Linked DNA regions of Coturnix japonica. The protein of the gene in region 1 interacts with the protein of each later gene in a pairwise test. Links are inferred from orthologs where the notes say so. Each region holds a gene or a part of one and is shown on either strand. Other genes may lie near its edges. The genes, in order: LHX4 and CHCHD2.

Region 1 (9,018 bases):
CCTCTCCTCCATGTGCCTCCTGGGCATGTACACCTTCTTCCGACTCCGCACCCGCGCACGGAAGGGCCGTTCTGGCTTCCCCGTACCATGAGAGCAAGTGGGACCCCCTGTGGGCTGCAGGACCCCCACCCACCCCCCGGGGCTGCGGGGCTCCTCCTCGCGTTGCCCAGGGCAGAGGTTTTGCTGGTTTTTTTTAGGGGGGGTTTCCCTCTGTGTGCCACATCCCTGGGGCTGTGATGCTGATGTTGGTTGGGGTCCCGGTACCCCGTTGTCCTCTGCAGGGACTGGGCAGCCCGGTCCTGTGCTGGGGCAGCCTCCTGCTTCAGGAGGCTCCTGGGGCCAGGAGCATCACGCTGGTCCCCCCCTGCTATTCCCCCTTTGCCTGTGGGGGCCCTGGGGGTGGGTTTTGTCCCCCTCCCCATCTCGTTGCTCGCTCTCTGCTTGTCTTAGTGGAATAAATTATTTTTGCCGACGGTGCTGTCGGTTCGTCCCTTATTTTGTTCTCTTGCTTCGGGATGCGTCCAGCCCCACATCCCCGGGGCTGCAGTGTCCCCAAGTGGTCGGACAACCCCTACAGCGCGGGGGAGGACGCAAGGAAAAGGAGCTGGCAATAAACCGGCCCCAGTGCTGGGGCTGCAGCTGTGCCCTGGGCAGGACGCAGGAGCGTCCCCGGGGACCGGGACCTGGGCCGGGCTCTGGCCCCGTTTCTCCCTGCCCTTTTATCCTTGTTAGGAATCATTAAGGAAAATGGTTGTTTTCCGAGGCCGCGGCCATCTGCTCCTTTGGCGCTGCCTAAATCCCCCCTGTAACAAATTCATTGGGATTACGCAGCCCTCCCCTAATCCCAGCCCTGCCCCCCGTGCGGGGATTTAAAGGGATTAGAGCCCGGCTGATAATAAACTTTATTAGGGGGGTGTGCGTGAGGGGGGTGTCAATCCGATTTGGAGCCATTTTCTTGATATCTTCACTTTGCCCAGGTGGGAGGAGAAGGGCCGGCAGCGCTACGGGCCCATCCTCCTGCCCTTGAAATAAATCGTCTGTCGCCGCTGCCTCCTTCTCCTTGATTTCCCTGGAGGGGGAGGTGCCCATCCCCAGCATCCCTCACCCCTCCCACCCAACCCCGGGCACCTCTCCTGGAAGCAGATGCTCCTCTGCACCCCCTCCCTGACCCTAAAGCAGCGGTGGGAGATGATGCGCTGGGGGTGGGGGAGGCTGCCCAGATCGCCGCTGTGGGGGGAGATTTGCGGTGCTGGGAGCTAAAGCCGCCACGCACGCAGGGAAAAAGAGAGTCCCGTAAATAGACTTTCCGTAATCCTGTTTGGTGCCGGCCCGATGCTCGCGGAAGGAGCAGCGCTGGGGACCCCCCCACACACGCCGATGGGCACCCAAAGTGGCCGCTGCGGTGGGGCAGCGCCGCGTTGTGCCGTGCTCACAGGTGGGCTGAGATGAGGGATGGGGGGGGGGCTGTGCTGCATATCCCCCCGGGGCCGCCCCTTCCCATCGCCGGTAATTACCCAAATGGCGCAGGCTGATGGGAGACAGTCGCTATTCCCTAATAGAATTTGCCCTCAAGTGCAATTTAATTTTCCTGGGCCAGCCGCCCCCCCGGCTCGCTGCCGCCCGCCGCTTCCTTTCTCCCCTCTTTCCTTTCCCACCTCGATGCAGGCAGGAGCCTCTCCGGCCATAAAATAGCGGGGCTGGGGATTGTGGTGGGGGGGACACCCTTCATGTCTGCTAAACCCCTATTAAAATTAACAGCGCCCTGCTCGGCACAACCCGCGTTCTCCAGCCGCCGGTAAGTGTCCGCTCTGTGATTTCTCCATGCAATGGGGGTGGGATGCGGGGGGTCCGGATACCTCCTTCCCACTTGGGGGGGGGGGTGAAAGGGATGGGATTATCCAACCTTGACGCCTTCTCAGGGCACCGGGGGGAATGAGCCCCAAAGCGATTCGAAGGGGAATAGATGGGCGAGGGGAGGGAGGTGCGTGAGGGAACGGAGCGGGGCGAGGATAGAGGTGATGCGTGGAAGGTGCTGCGGGGGTCATGGGGCACCAGTGCGATGCGGGGATGGGTGATGCAGATGGCGGCAGGGAGGGGGTCCGTACCGATATGCGGAATGAGAACGGAACCCCCTCGGGAGAAGGGGACGCGTTGGGGCAGAAGGATCCATCGGAGCCCTCCGGAGCGGGGGGGGCAGAGCGCCGTGACTCCGGCAGCGGCGTTTGGAGAACGGCCTGGGAAAGGGATGGGGGACAGGGATGGGGTAAGGGATGGAACTAAGGGATGGGGGTAAGGGATGGGGCTAAGGGATGGGGTAAGGGATGGGGTAAGGGATGGGGGTAAGGGATGGGGGTAAGGGATGTGGTAAGGGATGGGTACAGGGATGGGTACAGGGATGAATACAGGGATGGGTACAGGGATGGGTACAGGGATGGGTACAGGGATGAATACAGGGATGAATACAGGGATGGGTACAGGGATGGGTACAGGGATGGGTACAGGGATGCCCTCCTGCCCGCAGGTCCCATTGCTCCGTGCGGCTCCTCCCGCCCCGCAGAGCAGCCCCTGGCCGGGCAGATCCGCTGCCGGGCTGTGTCAGTGCCCGGCCCCGCTCCCCGCGGGAGATCTGGGGGGTTTCGTCGTTCCCGCGCCCCGCTCACCGGCACCGACCGGCCCCAGCCCTTCGGCATCGCCCCGCTCTGCGTTGCCCCTCTGCTCTCGGCCGCTCACGGCCCGGCTGCCCGGCGCCATGTCCCGACAGCCCCATGTCGCGATATCTCCGTCCACGCTCCGCAGGTTCCGGACTCCCGGGGCGTGGCGCGCTCAGGCCCCGCCCCTTTCATTCAAGCCACGCCCACAACCACTACGCCCCGCCCCTTTCTGCCCTCAGGCCCCGCCCCCTAAGGCGTGCGGCGTGCGGTGATTGGCGGAGAGCGGCAGGCCCCGCCCCCGGCCCCCTGCGGGCGGTGACGTCAGGCGCGCTCCCCGCAGGGCAATGAATGGGAGGCGGGCGGAGCTGCCGGCACAGCTGCGGCACCGCAACGGGCCGCAACCGGCACCGACACCGACACCGACACCGACACCGGCACCGGCACCGGGACGGCTCGGCTCCAACTGGTGCTGCTCGTGTCCGGGGCCCGGCCCGCTGCCCTCTCCCTGCCCTCTTCTCTCCCCTCTTCTCTCCCCTCCGTCGCCCCCGGGCCAATAAAATGATGCAAAGCTCAGCGCTCGCTGCCGAAGGGGCTGTCAAGGGGCTGCCGGAGATCCTCGGGGTGCCGGTACAACGTAAGGACGCGTTTCTCTTCCCCGTTCCCTCCCCGTTGTCCCCCGGTCGCGTTTCCCACCCTTTCGTTTCCCCCCGTGTTCTGCTCGGTGAAGCCGGGGGGGCCCGTCGGGGCGGTCGGGGCGGCTGTGCGTGTGCACGGGGCTGCAGCGGTGCCCCCGCTGTCGCTGTATGTCGCGACACGAGGCCCCGAGCCTCCTCCGGTCTGTCGGTGCGAACATCCATCGGTACGTGCTGCAGAGCTACAGGTGGCGAGGAGCCGGGTGCCCCCCCCGGGAGGGCCGTGAGCGTCCGGCTGTATGCGGGGACACCGTGCGGGTGTAATGGGAGGGGGGGAGGGTGCGAGCAGTGCCGGTCTCGGTTCGGTTCTATTTGTTATCGTTGTTAGCGTTTATGATTCGCATTCGTGTTTATTATCGCCGTTATCATCGATTATTGCTTTCACGGTTCCCCCTCCCCCCACACCCCGTTCGTAAACGGTTCCGGAGAAGCGGAGCGTCCCGCTGTATCGGGGGGGTCCGGTACTGGGAGGGGGCAGTGCCCCATCCGCACCCCCAGCCCGATGTGGGGCTGTCTCTCTGCTTCTGCCCGCAGCAGGGAGCAGCGAACGAGATGTTCTTCTCGTGTATTTCAGCGCAACAAATCGGTGGTGAAATAGCGGTGTTTGTGCTGCCGAAGTTCCCGTGGTGCTGCTGGATGGGGGGGTGGAGGGGCTGCATGGGGCCGCCTCTCAGTGCGGGCTGCGGGGCTCCGTGGGGACTGGGGGGGTCAGCGGAGGCACCGTGTCGGAACCCCCCCATGCTATAGGGAAACCGTGAGGTGAGAAATAGGGGCATCAGTGCGGGGCCTCTGGCCGGGATCCGGAGACAGGGAGAGGGGCTGCTATCCCCTCCTCCCCCCCACCTCCCCCCAGGTCTGCTCTATCATTATAATAATATTTTATTCTTTTTATTTGGTTTTATTTTACCCCCCCCCCCCCCATCCCCATCCCCATCACGGCTCACAGCGATGAGCTCCCTTTGCCGTTCTCGTTTCCCATCGCTGTGAGATCGCATTTCTCGGCCCCCGCACCCGCACAGCTCCTTTCTGCCTTAACCCCGACATTCTGCATCGACTTCAGCTCAGCGTTGGGGAGCCGAGAGCTGCGGGGTGGGCCTATAAACCCCCCCACGGCCAGCGCTAATTGACACCCTCATTAACAGCGCTATTTCTTTAGGGGCAGGTGGGCAAACGTGCGGCAAAGCTTTTGCCGTACCCAAAGTAATGCCTAAAGCACCTTCCCGAAATAATAATTAATAATAATAACAATAATAAACGAATGCATCGATAGGGCGATCATGAGAAATAATAATAAGAAGAAGAAATAAGAGAGAAATCGATCTCTGTAGATGGAATAAAACCAACGGGCTGTGCTGCCAACTCGCAGTGCAGTGGGGGGGAGTGGGGCCGGATTGGCCCCTGTGTGTTTATATATATGTATGTATTTATATGTATATGTGTGTGAATATATATGTGTGTGTATATATGTGTGTGTATGCATGCATATATCCACATGCATACACACATGTGTATATACATGTGCATCTGTACGTGTGTTGATCTGTGTACACACAGATGCGTGTGTATATTTATCAGATCAAATGAAATGATCCGAACTACTGGAAAACAAACCTAAACACGCCTTTATTTCAATAGCTGTTTGTCCACGTTCCGATCTCTTTCCGGAGCTGTTTGGGGCAGATATGGCGATACACACCGCGGCTGGTTCCGTTCCCGACGCTCGGAGGTGCCGCTGCCTCCAGCGCTGCGCGTCCCCGCATGGCTGCGCCGGACGCGCTCCGTTCCCCCCCCCTCTCTTTCATCCGTCCGTGGGGATAACGCAGGGGGTTCTGTCTCCCCTCGTTGCCGTGGGGGGGTCCCGTGGGATCGGCGGCGTCTCCGTTCGGTGCCGTTTGTTGATGCCCCCCCCGGGGCTGGGGGTCACCCCGCTGCCCCACCGCCGGGCCCCGCCGCCTGCACCGCCCCGCTGCGATCGGCTGCTGCGCCCTTTGCCTTCACCCCTTTTTCTTTCCCCTTTTTCCTTTCCTCTCTCCTGCCATTATCGATCTTTTTTCCCTTATCGTTGCGTTTCTTTTGCCTTTTTCCTCCTCCCCCCCCTCCCCCCGTCCTTTTTTTTTTTTCCCCCCACTTTTCCTCCCATCCCTTCTTTTCATTTCCTTTTTTCGTTCTCTTTTGCTTTCTTTCCCCCTTTTATTTCTCTTTCCTTTCCCCTTCTTCTCCCATGTTAATTTCCTCCCTTCCCTTTAGTTTCTTCCTCTCCGTCCATTCATTTCCCTTTTCCTTTTCCGTTTTTCTTTTCCTTCTTTCATTTTTTTTGCCTTTTCCCCTTTAATTTTTTTACATTTCTTTTCTTTCTTTACCCTTTTATTTCCCCCTTCTCTCTGCTTCCCTTTCCTTCCCCCGTTTCTTATTTCCTTCCCTTTATTTCGTTTATTTCCTTTTCCTCCCTTCTTCCCTTTCCCTTTTTATTTTCCTTTCTGCCTTTTTCCTTCTTTTCTTTTCTCTTATTCTCTTTCTCCTCTTTTCTTCCTTCCTTTTTCTCCCTTCTCTTTTAGTTTCCTTTTTTTTCCTCCCTTTTCTTTCACATTTTCCGTTTTCATTTCCTCTCTTCGTTTCCTTTCCCCCCTTCTTTTCCTTTTCTCTTCTCCTCCCCTTTCTTTTCTTTTTCTCTGTTCCTTTCTTTTTTTCCATTCCATTTTCTTTTCCTCTCCTTCTCCCCCTTCCTCATTTCCTTTCCATTCCCCTTTTCTTTTCTTTTGCTCTTTTCTGTTTTATTTTCTTTCCCTCTTCTCTTTTCCTTTCTTCTCCCCTTCTCTTTCTCCCTTCGTTTTTCCTCCCTCCTTCCCTTTCCTTTTACCCTTCCACCTCTCCCCCCCTTTCCATTTTCCATTCCCGTTTTCCTTTCCATTTTCCTTATTTCCTTCTCATTAACCTTCCCCCTTCCCCTACTCTTTTCCTCCCCTTTTCCTTTCTCCAACCTCTTTTCCCTCCATCACCCTTCTCCCCCTCATTCTGCCCTTCTATCCCCTCCCCGTTTTCCTCTCTCCCCCCTTCCTTCCCCCCCACTCCCCATTTCTCCATCGGGGAACGCAGGAGCGCGATGCGACTCGCGGTGCCGCCGTTGCTGAGGCCGTTCTCCCCTCCATCCCCGCAGAGATCCCCCAGTGCGCAGGGTGCAGCCAACACATCCTGGACAAGTTCATCCTGAAGGTGCTGGACCGCCACTGGCACAGCTCGTGCCTCAAGTGCGCCGATTGCCAGATGCAGTTGGCCGAGCGCTGCTTCGCCAGAGCCGGCAGCGTCTATTGCAAGGAGGATTTCTTCAAGTGAGTACCGGGGGACGCTGCCCCGTCTCTCCTCCCCGTCCCTCCTACCGCGAGTTGCGATGGAGCCGTGAAATCCCCGATGCTGCTGCTCTCTCTGCCCGGCTCCGTGTGAGGGGGCACCGCTCCACTCCTCATTTCTTTCCTCTTTTATATTTAACCTTCCCCCCCTCACCACCACCTCCCCGTATTTATTTTTATGTTTTCATTTCTTTCCCCGCTTCCTTTTTACCCCTTTTTTCCCCATCCTTTTTATATTCACTCTGTGCTATGAGATGAACCTCCCTTCTTTTCACCGCTGCTTTCCCTCCTTGAGCTCATCCATCTCCCCGGCTGCCGCATGGAAGAACCAACAAACAGCCCATTTCCCACCCCCCACCTCTGCTCTCCCCCCATCCCCAAAATGAGCTTCCAAGCACACATGCTCTAGCCCTGTTTTCTGGCAGAATTTGGGGGTTTTCCTATGGGCTGATGCCTCATCTCCCATCCTTCATCCCCACCAACCCGCAGGATGTGGCCATAATCCTGTGTGGACCTTCCCAGCTCAGCAGAATGAAGGGGCTCAGCATGTTTTTCTGTGCCCTCCCCCTCACCCCCCCAGGAGCCCAATCCCATTGCCAGCCCAGGGGCACAGCAGCGTCAGCACCACATCCCCACGTCCCACTGTCGCAGCCACTGAAAATCATGGTGTGAAATGAAGCTGATGATCTCCAAGTCACTTACGGAGCTGGCCCAAAGGTGTGGGGATCGATGATATTGGCACTGGGAGCTCAATGGTGGGCTCATGTCAGGGTCCATGTAGATCATCCTGAGCTAATCAATAGCTTAGTGCCGTCACCTTTGGTTCAGCCATTGGTGGGGCCCAGGGTCTGCTCACCTGAAGTTCCTCTTCAATATCTTTGCATGTAGAATCATTAAGTGTGGGAAAACACCCAGATCCTGAAGTCCAGCCCCAACCCACCCCACTATCGACCTCACCCCTCAGTGCTGCATCTCCACAACCCCATAGCACCTTTGGGGATGGTGACCCCAATGCTCTCTGGGCAGCCCTTTCCTTGCACGCTCCTCCATACCTGCTCTGCACACCTTTGCAGCACGCCCCTGGCAGCCCACCCTGCTGGCACAGCACAGCACCGCCACGCTGTCATTACGGCGTAAGAGCCCCATCATTCTGCATTAATCTGGGATTCATCATGAGAGCGGGGCGGTGTAATTAATTTATTTGGTATTAATGTGGATGAAATATGTACTGTCCTTGCGGGGGAAATCAGGCAGCCTATAAGCATTAGTTAAAAGAACCATTAAACTCAACCCTTCCCCAGCTCCATTAGGGGCAGCCGCTGACGAAGATGAAGCCGCGCCGCGTGAGGTGTCAGCCGTAATTAGGCTGATGGCTGGGTTAACTCTGCCCCGCTGGCCGCTTGTCCTTGCAGGCGCTTCGGGACCAAATGCACGGCGTGCCAGCAGGGCATCCCCCCCACGCAGGTGGTGCGCAAAGCCCAGGACTTCGTCTACCACCTGCACTGCTTCGCCTGCATCATCTGCAGCCGGCAGCTGGCCACCGGCGATGAGTTCTACCTGATGGAGGACGGGAGGCTGGTGTGCAAGGAGGACTATGAGACTGCCAAGCAGAACGGTAGGACCTCGAGCTCGTGTTTTGTGGCCTCTGAGATTGTGTTTTACTGCCAGCGCTGCTCACGCCACACGTTTGCTCCCAGATGACTCCGAGGCTGGAGCTAAGCGGCCCCGCACCACCATCACGGCCAAGCAGCTGGAGACACTGAAGAATGCCTACAAGAACTCCCCCAAACCTGCCCGGCACGTGCGGGAGCAGCTCTCCTCTGAGACGGGGCTGGACATGAGGGTGGTGCAGGTGAGACCAAGGACAGGCCTCTGCACACAGCCCAGCACCAAAGGGCTTGGGTTGGGTTCCAGGTGCTGGGGTGCTGCGGTGATGTGATGCTGGATTGAAGGGGTGCAGGGATGCTTGGTTGTAGGGTGCATGGAAGCTGGGACGTGGGGTGCTCTGGTTCCTGCTGTGTGCAGATGCAAGGTTGAAACAATGCTGTAGTGCTGAGATGCAGAGGCATCAGACCACATGGATGCCAGAACTCTGGGACTGCTGGCATGCATGTTCCCATGGCTGGTAGGCTGCATCAGTGCTGTGATGCCATGGCAACGAGGTGCAGGTGTGCAGGATTACATGGATGCTGGGTGCCAGTGGTGCTGGGTTACATGGCTGCTGGACTGCTGGTGCACTGGGTTGCAGGGTTACTTGTTTGCACAGTACCTGCGTGTTGGGGAGCTGGCATGATGGGGCACAGAACTGTGGGGATCCTGGTGTGAGGGGAT
Region 2 (9,101 bases), on another chromosome or scaffold:
CAAACCAACTGAGCTCAAAGAAAAAATACACCAGTTTATTCCAATTATCCTATACAATTCACGTTAACACCAATACCATGACTGTGCTTTATCCAAGTTCCATCCCCTGCTGGAGCCATCACTGGCAATGTGACCATTTTGACCTTCCAGGTCCCATTGCTCCCATTAACAAACCTGCCTTAAGTCACACGACTGAAGGAAGCTGTGCATGCACCTGTGTCACCCCTTTAACTCTGCAGAAACAAATCACACGACCAGCTGTGCAACCATCACTGAGAAAGCTCAATGAGAAGAGTCCAGAGCTACACGCTGCATACCAGAAAGCTGGAACAGCACACCTGAAATCCTATTACCCAGGTGAAGTCTGAATTTCCTCCTAGGAATGAAGTTTCTCATTGTGGCAGCAACGAGAGGCACCGCATTGGAGGGGGAGAGGAGAGCGACTGATGGAAGGGATGCTGTGGCAGCACAGAGAGTCGGGTTAATTTCTTCCACTGTTATCCTTCCTTCAAAGGTTCATAGCCTGCCCTCTCGTCTTGATTTTAAAGGAATATCCCTTTCTGGCCTGTGGCCGTACACAGCTGAAAGCACATTCCTCTCCAAATATGGTTTGACTGCACAGAACTCGCATGCTCCTTCCCCACAAACTCTTCTTACCACCTGTTTCCATTACCACCAGAGCTACCCTGACATTTGCAATACTTCAGTCGCTAAGCAGGGCTCTCCTAGCAACTGCTGGGGAGATTTCAAGTCAGATCTTTGTGGATCTTATCCCCAAACACTCAGATTGTTATTTAAAACTCCTGCACTGAAGTACTGACAGGTCTTACCACGGCATTACTAACCAATGCTATAATTACCCAGCATTATTCTCTAATTATATCTTTAGCTATTTCTGATTATAACCATTTTGCTTTTGCAAAGCGCTCGGTAAACATACATTAAATCTGCTATTTGAAATTCCCCATCTCAAGGGCACTCCTTACAGTAACAACAATCCCTGAAGGACCAAGAACAGAACAGACCACAACAGGGGGCTCAGAAACCCCCATTATCCTCCTCTCACCTCTATGGTGGCGGTGAATGACTGTGAATTACTGACAATACTCACTTGGTTTAACCTCAGCAGCCCACACCTAATGCTCATTTACAAGTTGAAGTTACCATGCGAGCGTATTGAAGTCCTCTTTCTGTTTAGATTGAAACTGCTGGTGTTTGGACCACTCTGAAGCAGCACCATGAACAACCACCTTCACAAATTAAACATCATCTGACCACAGAATGAAAGGCAAAGGCACAGCCCTCACTCAGCCACAGCAGCCTCCTTCCAGACAGCAGCGGATTCATCTCTCTGTAACTCAACACACAGAACCGATTTCAGCAGAAGGATTTCCACGTATGTTTCATCTATACAAACCAACCAGCATCCACATCAGCAGGTCACTCACATCTCTCCACCACTTTGCTATGGCAATACCTGTGTATGGAGTGGGATGACTGAGAAAGAAGAAACCTGATAAACCCACGTAACATTCAAGGATTCATCCGACTGAAGGCACAACAAATAAAAGGGAAGTGCTCACTACATCCATTTGCTGAAGGACCCCAACTCTCTCATTCTCAGCTGTCCACCCATGTACGTGCTTGTATGTCTTTGTTTGCACACAGAGCAGCCTGCATCGCTCTGCAGTCACCTCATTCCTCCAGCTGAAACACAGCTGAGGCTGTAAGGCAGCCGGACCTGCAGCACAGCGATACCCAGCAGAGCCTGCACCTACAGCAGGCTGAGCCCTGCCCTGCTATCGACCTTCAGCAAACAGCTGCCACGTTGATCACTGCAGGGAATCCCACAGGATAAGCCAAGATGTGAGCAGAGCTTTTCCTCTCTCGATGAATCCCTTCCCGTGCATCACACACACACGTATTTACACACTCCCAGGTAACAGCACGATGAACAAGCACTTTGGATTCGCCGTTAACACCTCGTACACCACACTGTGCTGTGTGGGCCCCGGGCCGACTCACACCCACCGGTGCTGCCCCATAGCCTCAATGCGGCCCTAAAACAGTGCCGGGAACGGGCAGCACAGCACGAGGCCCTCATAGAATCACAGAATGACCCGGGTTGGAAGGGACCTCAAGGATCATGTAGTTCCAACCCCCTGCCTGGCAGGGCCACCAAACATACACCTTTACTAGATCAGGTTGCCCAGGGCCCCGTCCAACCTGGCCTTGAACACCTCCAAGGACGGGGCATCCACAACCTCCCTGGGCAGCCTGTTCCAGGGCCTCACCACTCTCCTAGTGAAGAACTTCCCCCTCACATCCAACCTAAATCTTCCCTCTTTTAACTTAAATCCATTTCCCCGTGTCCTGCTATTGTCAGCTCTTTCCAAGAGTTTACTCCCCTCCTGGTTATAGGTTCCCTTCAGGTATTGAAAGGCCGCAATGAGGTCACCCCGCAACCTTCTCTTCTCCAGGCTGAAGGCCTTCATCATCATCATCATCATCATCACCACCATCACTATCATTATCATCCTCCTCCCGCTCATCCCATCTCTCCGTTCCCATCTCACCCCCCACATCTCATTCCCTCCCCCGGCCCTTCCCCTTCTCCCCGTTCCCGTCCCGTTGTGGCCGGTCTCTCTGCCGTTCTCCCCCTCACCTGGAGGTGATGGCGGCGGAGCAGCGGACCCTCTCGCTGAGGTCGCACAACGCCTGGTAGTGCAGATCTCGTCCCTTCTCCCTCTCCAGGTGACAGGCGTACAGTGACAGCAGGATCCCGGCCGCACACACGGCGGATCGAGCCACCCGCTCCCATCGCGGCACCGACACTCTGAGCAGGACGGGCGCCGCCATCTTACCCCCTCCCTCCGCCTCAGCCCGCGACGCGCGCCCGGCGCCCACCGGCAGCGCACGCGCGCCTTCACCTCATTGGCTGCCCGGGAGGACACGCCGGACGTGGCGCTTCGCGACGACGTCACGTAACGTCGGTGTGGGGAGGGGCGGGGAATTGCGCCCCCTGGTGGTCGGAGGGAGCGTTACAACCTTATGGCCGCCCCAGCGCCCGCCCCTCCGTGCGGAGGAAGTGACGCAGCGCGGCGTGTTCTGACCTTCAGTGTCTGCTCGGTTCCGCTCGTGTCCCGGTTCTCGTCCCGTCTCGTTGCCCGCCATGCCCAGGGGGGGACGCAGCCGCTCGTCCCGCGTGGCGCCGCCCGCCAGGTGAGCGTCAATGGGCGACCGAACAACCAGAGCTAATGATCGGGTCACACCGCACCACGCGGGACGTGTAGGCCGCAAAGGCCTCGCAGCCATGGAGGGGGATGACGCAGATGGGACGGGGCTGTGGAGCGGGTGGGAGATTTGATGGGGGGGTGTATATAGGGCACTATAGGGGGTGCATATAAGGCCCTACATGGGGTTTATATAAGGCCCTACATGGGATGTATATAAGGCCCTATAGGGGGTGAATATAAGGCACTATAGGGGGTGTATATAAGGCCCTACATGGGGTGTATATAAGGCCCTATAGGGGGGTGTATAAGGCCCTATAGGGGGGTGAATATAAGGCCCTATAGGGGGTGTATATAAGGCCCTATAGGGGGCGTATATAAGGCCCTATATGGGGTGTGTATAAGGCACTATAGGGGGCGTATATAAGGCCCTATATGGCGTGTATATAAAACCCTATAGGGGGTGTATATAAGGCCTATATGGGGTCTATATAAGGCCCTGTATGGGGTGTGTAGGCTGTTAGGCAGGATCTGTTGGAGAACAAGAAAGAAAAACAGTCTGCAAACGGCCCCTGCGCTGTGTGAATGACTCCCTGGAACACCACGTCCTTGCATTGTGTGTGTGTGGGGTCACACGAATTGGAGCTGCCGCTGTTTGCTCTGTGAGCTGGAGGCCGCAGCCCTTTGTGATGGTCTCTGTTTCCCCACAGCCGGGTGCCGCAGATGAGAGCAGCGCCGCCAGCTCCAGCCCCAGCACCCGCCAATGCTGTGGCCGCTCCTGCCCCAAAGCAGCCCGGGCTGATGGCACAAATGGCCACGACCGCGGCTGGGGTCGCTGTGGGTTCGGCCGTGGGACACACCATCGGACACGCCATCACCGGAGGCTTCGGGGGAGGAAGTGCCGCTGAGCCCGCGGGGCCTGATATTACCTACCAGGTAAGGAAGGCACCGCTGGGTGCTGAGCTGGGGTTAACCTGGGAGAGCACATGCAATAGGTCCAAGTAGTTGCTACAGGGTTAAAAGCTGCACAAAGCTCTGGCTGGGGATTCTAGAGCAACGTTCTTGACTCAGCCTCCAACTTCAAGTGGTTCAAAGGGTCACACATGCAGTGTATATGGATAGCAGCACACACAGCGTGTTGTTTTTATCCCCTTGTGATTCACAGGGGACTTCTATGTTCCAGGTCTGGTAATGATGAGATCTACTGCAAGATTTTTGTCCTGCAGTCACTTCTTGTGCTGCTGAGACATCAGTACAGTGCTATTGGCACATCAGTACGGTGCTATTGGCACATCAGTACGGTGCTGTTGCCTTGCTCCGGTGCAATCCAGACTTACTTCAGTGTGTGTAACCTACACAACTGCTCAGCACGCCTCATGTCAGCACTGGAACCTTTGTACTTTGGCCCATAGGTTTCCATTTAAAAAGGAACATTCTGTAACAAAAACACAGGGAAGAAGTGCACTGAGAGCAGCACGGGGTATTACAGCTCCATGGTGCTTACAGAGGTGTGTGCTGTTTTAGGAACCCCAGGCTGCTCAGCCTTCCTACCAGCAGCAGCAGCAGTTTGCTCCTTGCCAGTATGAAATGAAGCAGTTCCTGGAGTGCGCACAGAACCAGACTGACCTCAAACTGTGCGAGGGCTTCAGTGAAGTGCTGAAGCAGTGCAGGTTTGCTAATGGTAAGTAGACAGCAGTGCCAGCCCAGTGCTCTGATGGGGGAGGACAAGAAGCTTCCAAACACAGGTGTCTGGATTGCTGAAATCTTCATCATGTCAGCAAATATCAGGGGGTGAGGGGGGAGGTCTGAGCCTGTGTGTGCATTATAGCAGGATGATGGAATAGTTTGAGATGGAAGGGACCCCAAAGGGCCATCTGGTCCCACTGCCTGCAATGCACAGGGACACCCACAGCTCCATCAGTGCTCACAGCCCTCCAGCCTGACCCTGGGGGTCTGCAGGGATGGGCACCTGAGTCTAAAACCTTCTAAAATCTCTCTGGGTCTAAAACTTCCCATGATTAACTGCTGTAACTTCTTGCCTTCCAGGTTTAGCTTAAGCCTCCAGACCGAGGCTGCTGAAGACCACCTTAAAGAACTGACCTATGAATGAAAAAGCTTTGCTAATAGCCTAAAGCTCTCTGATATCTTGTTACTTTCGTGTAGTCACGCTGTTGTCTTTGTGGCCTCATTTCTGCAGTAGCCTCTACAGCTGTGATACAACTGCAAACTAATTGAGCACAAAATGGAAGTAATGATCAATAAATTGTAATGAGTTGATTGGGGCTATTTCTTAATTACTGCGTTGAATGGGAGCGAGGTGGTGTACAAATAAAGGTGTCCATGGAGGTACCTTGCCCTGGGGGGGGGTTTGGGCTGCTGGGTGAGTTGAGTTCTGAAGGTGAGCGGGCAGGAACTGATTTTAGCAGGCTGAGCACGTTCCCAGCCCTGCTGGCAGGGAGGGCTGAAGGGCTGGAGCTGCAGGCTGCCAGGAGCAGCTTTGGCTCAGGGTTTGGTGACTGACATTTCCTGCACTATTTGAACCCCGGGGGCAACTTGTGCTTATTGCAGAGTGTGGGGAGGAGGGAGGTTATGGCTGACTGCAATGCTGGGTGTGCAGCAGGTCAGCCCGCATCCCATCCTAGTTCTGACTGTGTCCTCTGTATTCAGTTTAAAGAGGCTGAGGAAATGCCATCCCTCTACATGAAAGCTCTGCGTAGCAATACACACTTCCAAGACAAAATGGCTGAAGCACCATCTTAAAGGGAACTCGCAGCCCCCAGTAACACAACTCCTTTACAAAGACCCTAAAAAATACCTTCTTGTTTCCTGAGCTGCTGCGCTGTGTCCCACCGGCTCCTCGGAGCCTCATCTCTGTGCAGCATTTCCTGGAAGAGAACGGATCAAATCAGAGCTTGGGGCCGCCCCGCCGTGGAGGGACGGGGCAGAAATAACGGGGGCAGGAATAACGGGACAGGAATAACGGGGGCAGAGATATCCACCCCCCCCCCCACCCCAACCATCCTCCGGGCCGCTGCGGCGCTGCGCGTTATTTTCAGCGCTGCTCCGCTCCTCCCCCTCCCCGCGCTCCTCCTCCCGTCCCGCTCCGTTTCCGGCCCCGATGGCGCACGGCTGAGACGGCGGCGCTGCGGGAACCGAGGGGAGGTGAGGCCGGACCGGGAGCTGAGGCCGCCGGGGGGGACGGGAGGGCGATATGGGGCGATACAGGGCGGTGCAGCTCAGCGCGCACTGAGACCCCCCTCATTCTCTCCATCCCCCATCGATGTTTTCTCTGCGCCGCGCACGTAGGATTTGAGCCCCAAATGGGGTCAGCGCTTCTCCCAAATCTCCCATCAGCTGCGTTTTATGGCATAACGTACTAATAGCACGCGTTAATCGGTGTGCTTACTAATCCAAAGCAAAGCAAGCGGTGTCGGATCGCCCCCAGCCTACAGCCAGCCCTGCAACCCAATGGGGGCTGCTGTCAACAACGAGATGTGGGGCAGCATTGCCTGCAAGGAGCAGCTTAAAAGGGAAGGAAACAAAGTGCTTCTAAAGGGAGGTTCGGGGTCTGGGCGCTGCTGGCACCCACATTGTGTTGCCCTGCCCGACCCTGCAGCTCGGCCCCAGCTGACCCCACCGTGCTGGCAGCGGCTCCAGCTCTCCCCTCCCTTCCCTTTTCATGCCATTTTCTCCTACTTTTTCTCAGCCAAAAGCCATTCGGGACGGATTTCTCATAATAATCAGGGGAAAACAATTAGTGTTAGAACCAGAAAGAACAGGGCTGGGAGGAATTGAGGTGGATCTCACAGCTCAGCGGGTCCCTGGGCAGTGCCATGGGTTGATGTTTTGGGTCCATCAGAGCTGTTCTCTCCCCAGCCCAGTTCCACCTGGCAGCACCCAGCCATGACAAAGGAGGAGGAGCTCCCGGACTGGAACACATCCAAGGAGTTCTATGAAAAATATGAGCCCAAGGAGGTTCTGGGCAGGTAAAGTTTGGTTCTGGGAAAATGTTTTGCTTGATCACAACAGGAATCTGATCTGATGGGAGCCCACAGCACCCACCCACGGGTTAAAAATAGCATGAAGAAGCACCTTCCAGCTGCACCAAGTTTGTCCCCCTGAGCCAGGAAAGCACCACGGCCCCAACGTGTGTCTGTGCTGGGTGGGGGGAGCCCAGACAAATGGTTTGGGGTGGAAGGGATCTTAAACATCATCCTGTTCCAACCCTCTGCCAACCCACGATGCCCCAACTTAGGACCCATCCCAGGAGCTCACACCGCATCCCTGTTAGTTCATAGAGTAGAAGGGACCCATAAGGATCATTGGGTCCATCTCCCAGTTGTGGGAAAACGATTCCATCCTGATCCTCCATAGCATGTCATGCAAACAGGGGTGGGAAGTACCTCATTGTTCCTGGGCTGTTCCTGGCAGGGGGGTGAGCAGCGTCGTCCGTCGGTGCATCCACAAAGTGACCAGGCAGGAATATGCGGTGAAGATCATCGACATCACAGCAGGGAACATCTCCCCCCAGGAGGTGCAGGAGCTGCGTGAGGCCACAGCCAAAGAGATCGACATCCTGCGCAAGGTCTCGGGACACCCCAACGTCAGTGAGTCGGGGCAGGAGGGTTTCTGCCACGTTTACTCTTGGAGGTTCACCCAGGACGGGCTTTGGGGTGATGGATGTCAGAGCTCTGTGGGATCCATGGTCTGGCATGAGGTGGAGAAGCTGCTCAGAGCATCCCCTGCTCTGCCTCTGCCCAGCCATCTCCCTCCTGAGCTCCTGATCAAAGCATTAATTAATTCACTTAATTAGTTAATTCACTTAGCAATTAGATCAGCAATTTTTAGGCTGTTAGTGGAAAGGAGCTCTCTGTGCATGGGGTGTGTGCTGAGGAACACACTGCACAGAGCTCACAGCTCCATTTCATTGCAGTCCAGCTGAAGGACAGCTATGAGTCCAGCACCTTCTTCTTCCTGGTGTTTGACCTGTAAGTACCAGCTCCCATTTGCCTCCATTCCTCCACATTTCCACCCTGCTTTTTTCTATGGCCCCAATGGGCAAAACAGGGCCACGACTGGGTCTTGCTTGAGGTAGGAGGGAGCCTGCTCACTCAGCCTCAGCTCTGCTCCCTCCATCAGCAGCAGCTCAGGTTTCCCCATAACCTTTGGTGGGAGCTTGGGGTTATTTATATGCCCAGCAGGACCAGGGCTGGCACAGCGCCGTAACTCGTGGCATCATGATGAACCCATTGGTCCCTTCCAAACCCTGCCTGCTCTGTGCACAGCTTTTCCTCCTCCTGCCTGATATTTTGCAAGATATCAAGGCATCTTTAACCCTTTCCTATTAGCGTGTCAGCTTGTCATTTTGTGCAGCGAGCACCAAAGGGGCAGTAACTCCTGGCAGTCCCTGGCTTGAGGCTGATTTTCCCTCCTGCACGCAGGATGAAGAGGGGGGAGCTCTTCGACTACCTCACCGAGAAGGTCACTTTAAGCGAGAAGGAAACCAGGTAAGGCTGAAGTTGTGCTGCAAAACCAAAGCCTGAGTTCCAAGCACAGTTGTGCAGCCAGCACAGTGTGCATGGACAAAACGCCACCCGGTCTGTGCCTCTGTGCTTGGGTGTCAAGGCTTTTGCACAGGGGCTGAGCTGTGCAGCCCCTATTCCTGTCCTTGTCCCCATCCCCAGGAGTGCAGTGCTAATGGGCACTGGGAGTAATGCTGTCCCCCCCTCCTTAGGAAGATCATGCACGCACTGCTGGAGGTGATCGAGTACCTGCACTCCATCGACATCGTGCACCGCGACCTGAAGCCGGAGAACATCCTCCTGGATGACGACATGAACATTAAGCTGACAGACTTTGGCTTCTCCT

What was found.
Region 2: the proteins of LHX4 (region 1) and CHCHD2 interact in binary tests that used the Homo sapiens proteins (3 or more experiments, as listed by UniProt). The two-hybrid records come from large-scale screens. The link is inferred for Coturnix japonica from reciprocal best matches to the Homo sapiens genes LHX4 and CHCHD2.

What each region holds. Positions count from the first base shown.
Region 1 is NC_029523.1:5,731,180-5,740,197, forward strand, and holds the start of LHX4 (LIM/homeobox protein Lhx4), read left to right. Parts: upstream 1-3,049; 5' UTR 3,050-3,209; coding exon 3,210-3,285; intron 3,286-6,497; coding exon 6,498-6,669; intron 6,670-8,099; coding exon 8,100-8,302; intron 8,303-8,384; coding exon 8,385-8,539; intron 8,540-9,018. Other genes in the region: QSOX1 (sulfhydryl oxidase 1), read left to right, coding at 1-91. UniProt on the Homo sapiens protein: May play a critical role in the development of respiratory control mechanisms and in the normal growth and maturation of the lung. Binds preferentially to methylated DNA.
Region 2 is NC_029534.1:3,737,783-3,746,883, reverse strand, and holds CHCHD2 (coiled-coil-helix-coiled-coil-helix domain-containing protein 2), read left to right. Parts: upstream 1-3,070; 5' UTR 3,071-3,172; coding exon 3,173-3,222; intron 3,223-3,943; coding exon 3,944-4,169; intron 4,170-4,757; coding exon 4,758-4,914; intron 4,915-5,279; coding exon 5,280-5,290; 3' UTR 5,291-5,510; downstream 5,511-9,101. Other genes in the region: VKORC1L1 (vitamin K epoxide reductase complex subunit 1-like protein 1), read right to left, coding at 2,666-2,859; PHKG1 (phosphorylase b kinase gamma catalytic chain, skeletal muscle/heart isoform), read left to right, coding at 7,137-7,219, 7,665-7,840, 8,167-8,221, 8,675-8,740, 8,968-9,101. UniProt on the Homo sapiens protein: Transcription factor. Binds to the oxygen responsive element of COX4I2 and activates its transcription under hypoxia conditions (4% oxygen), as well as normoxia conditions (20% oxygen).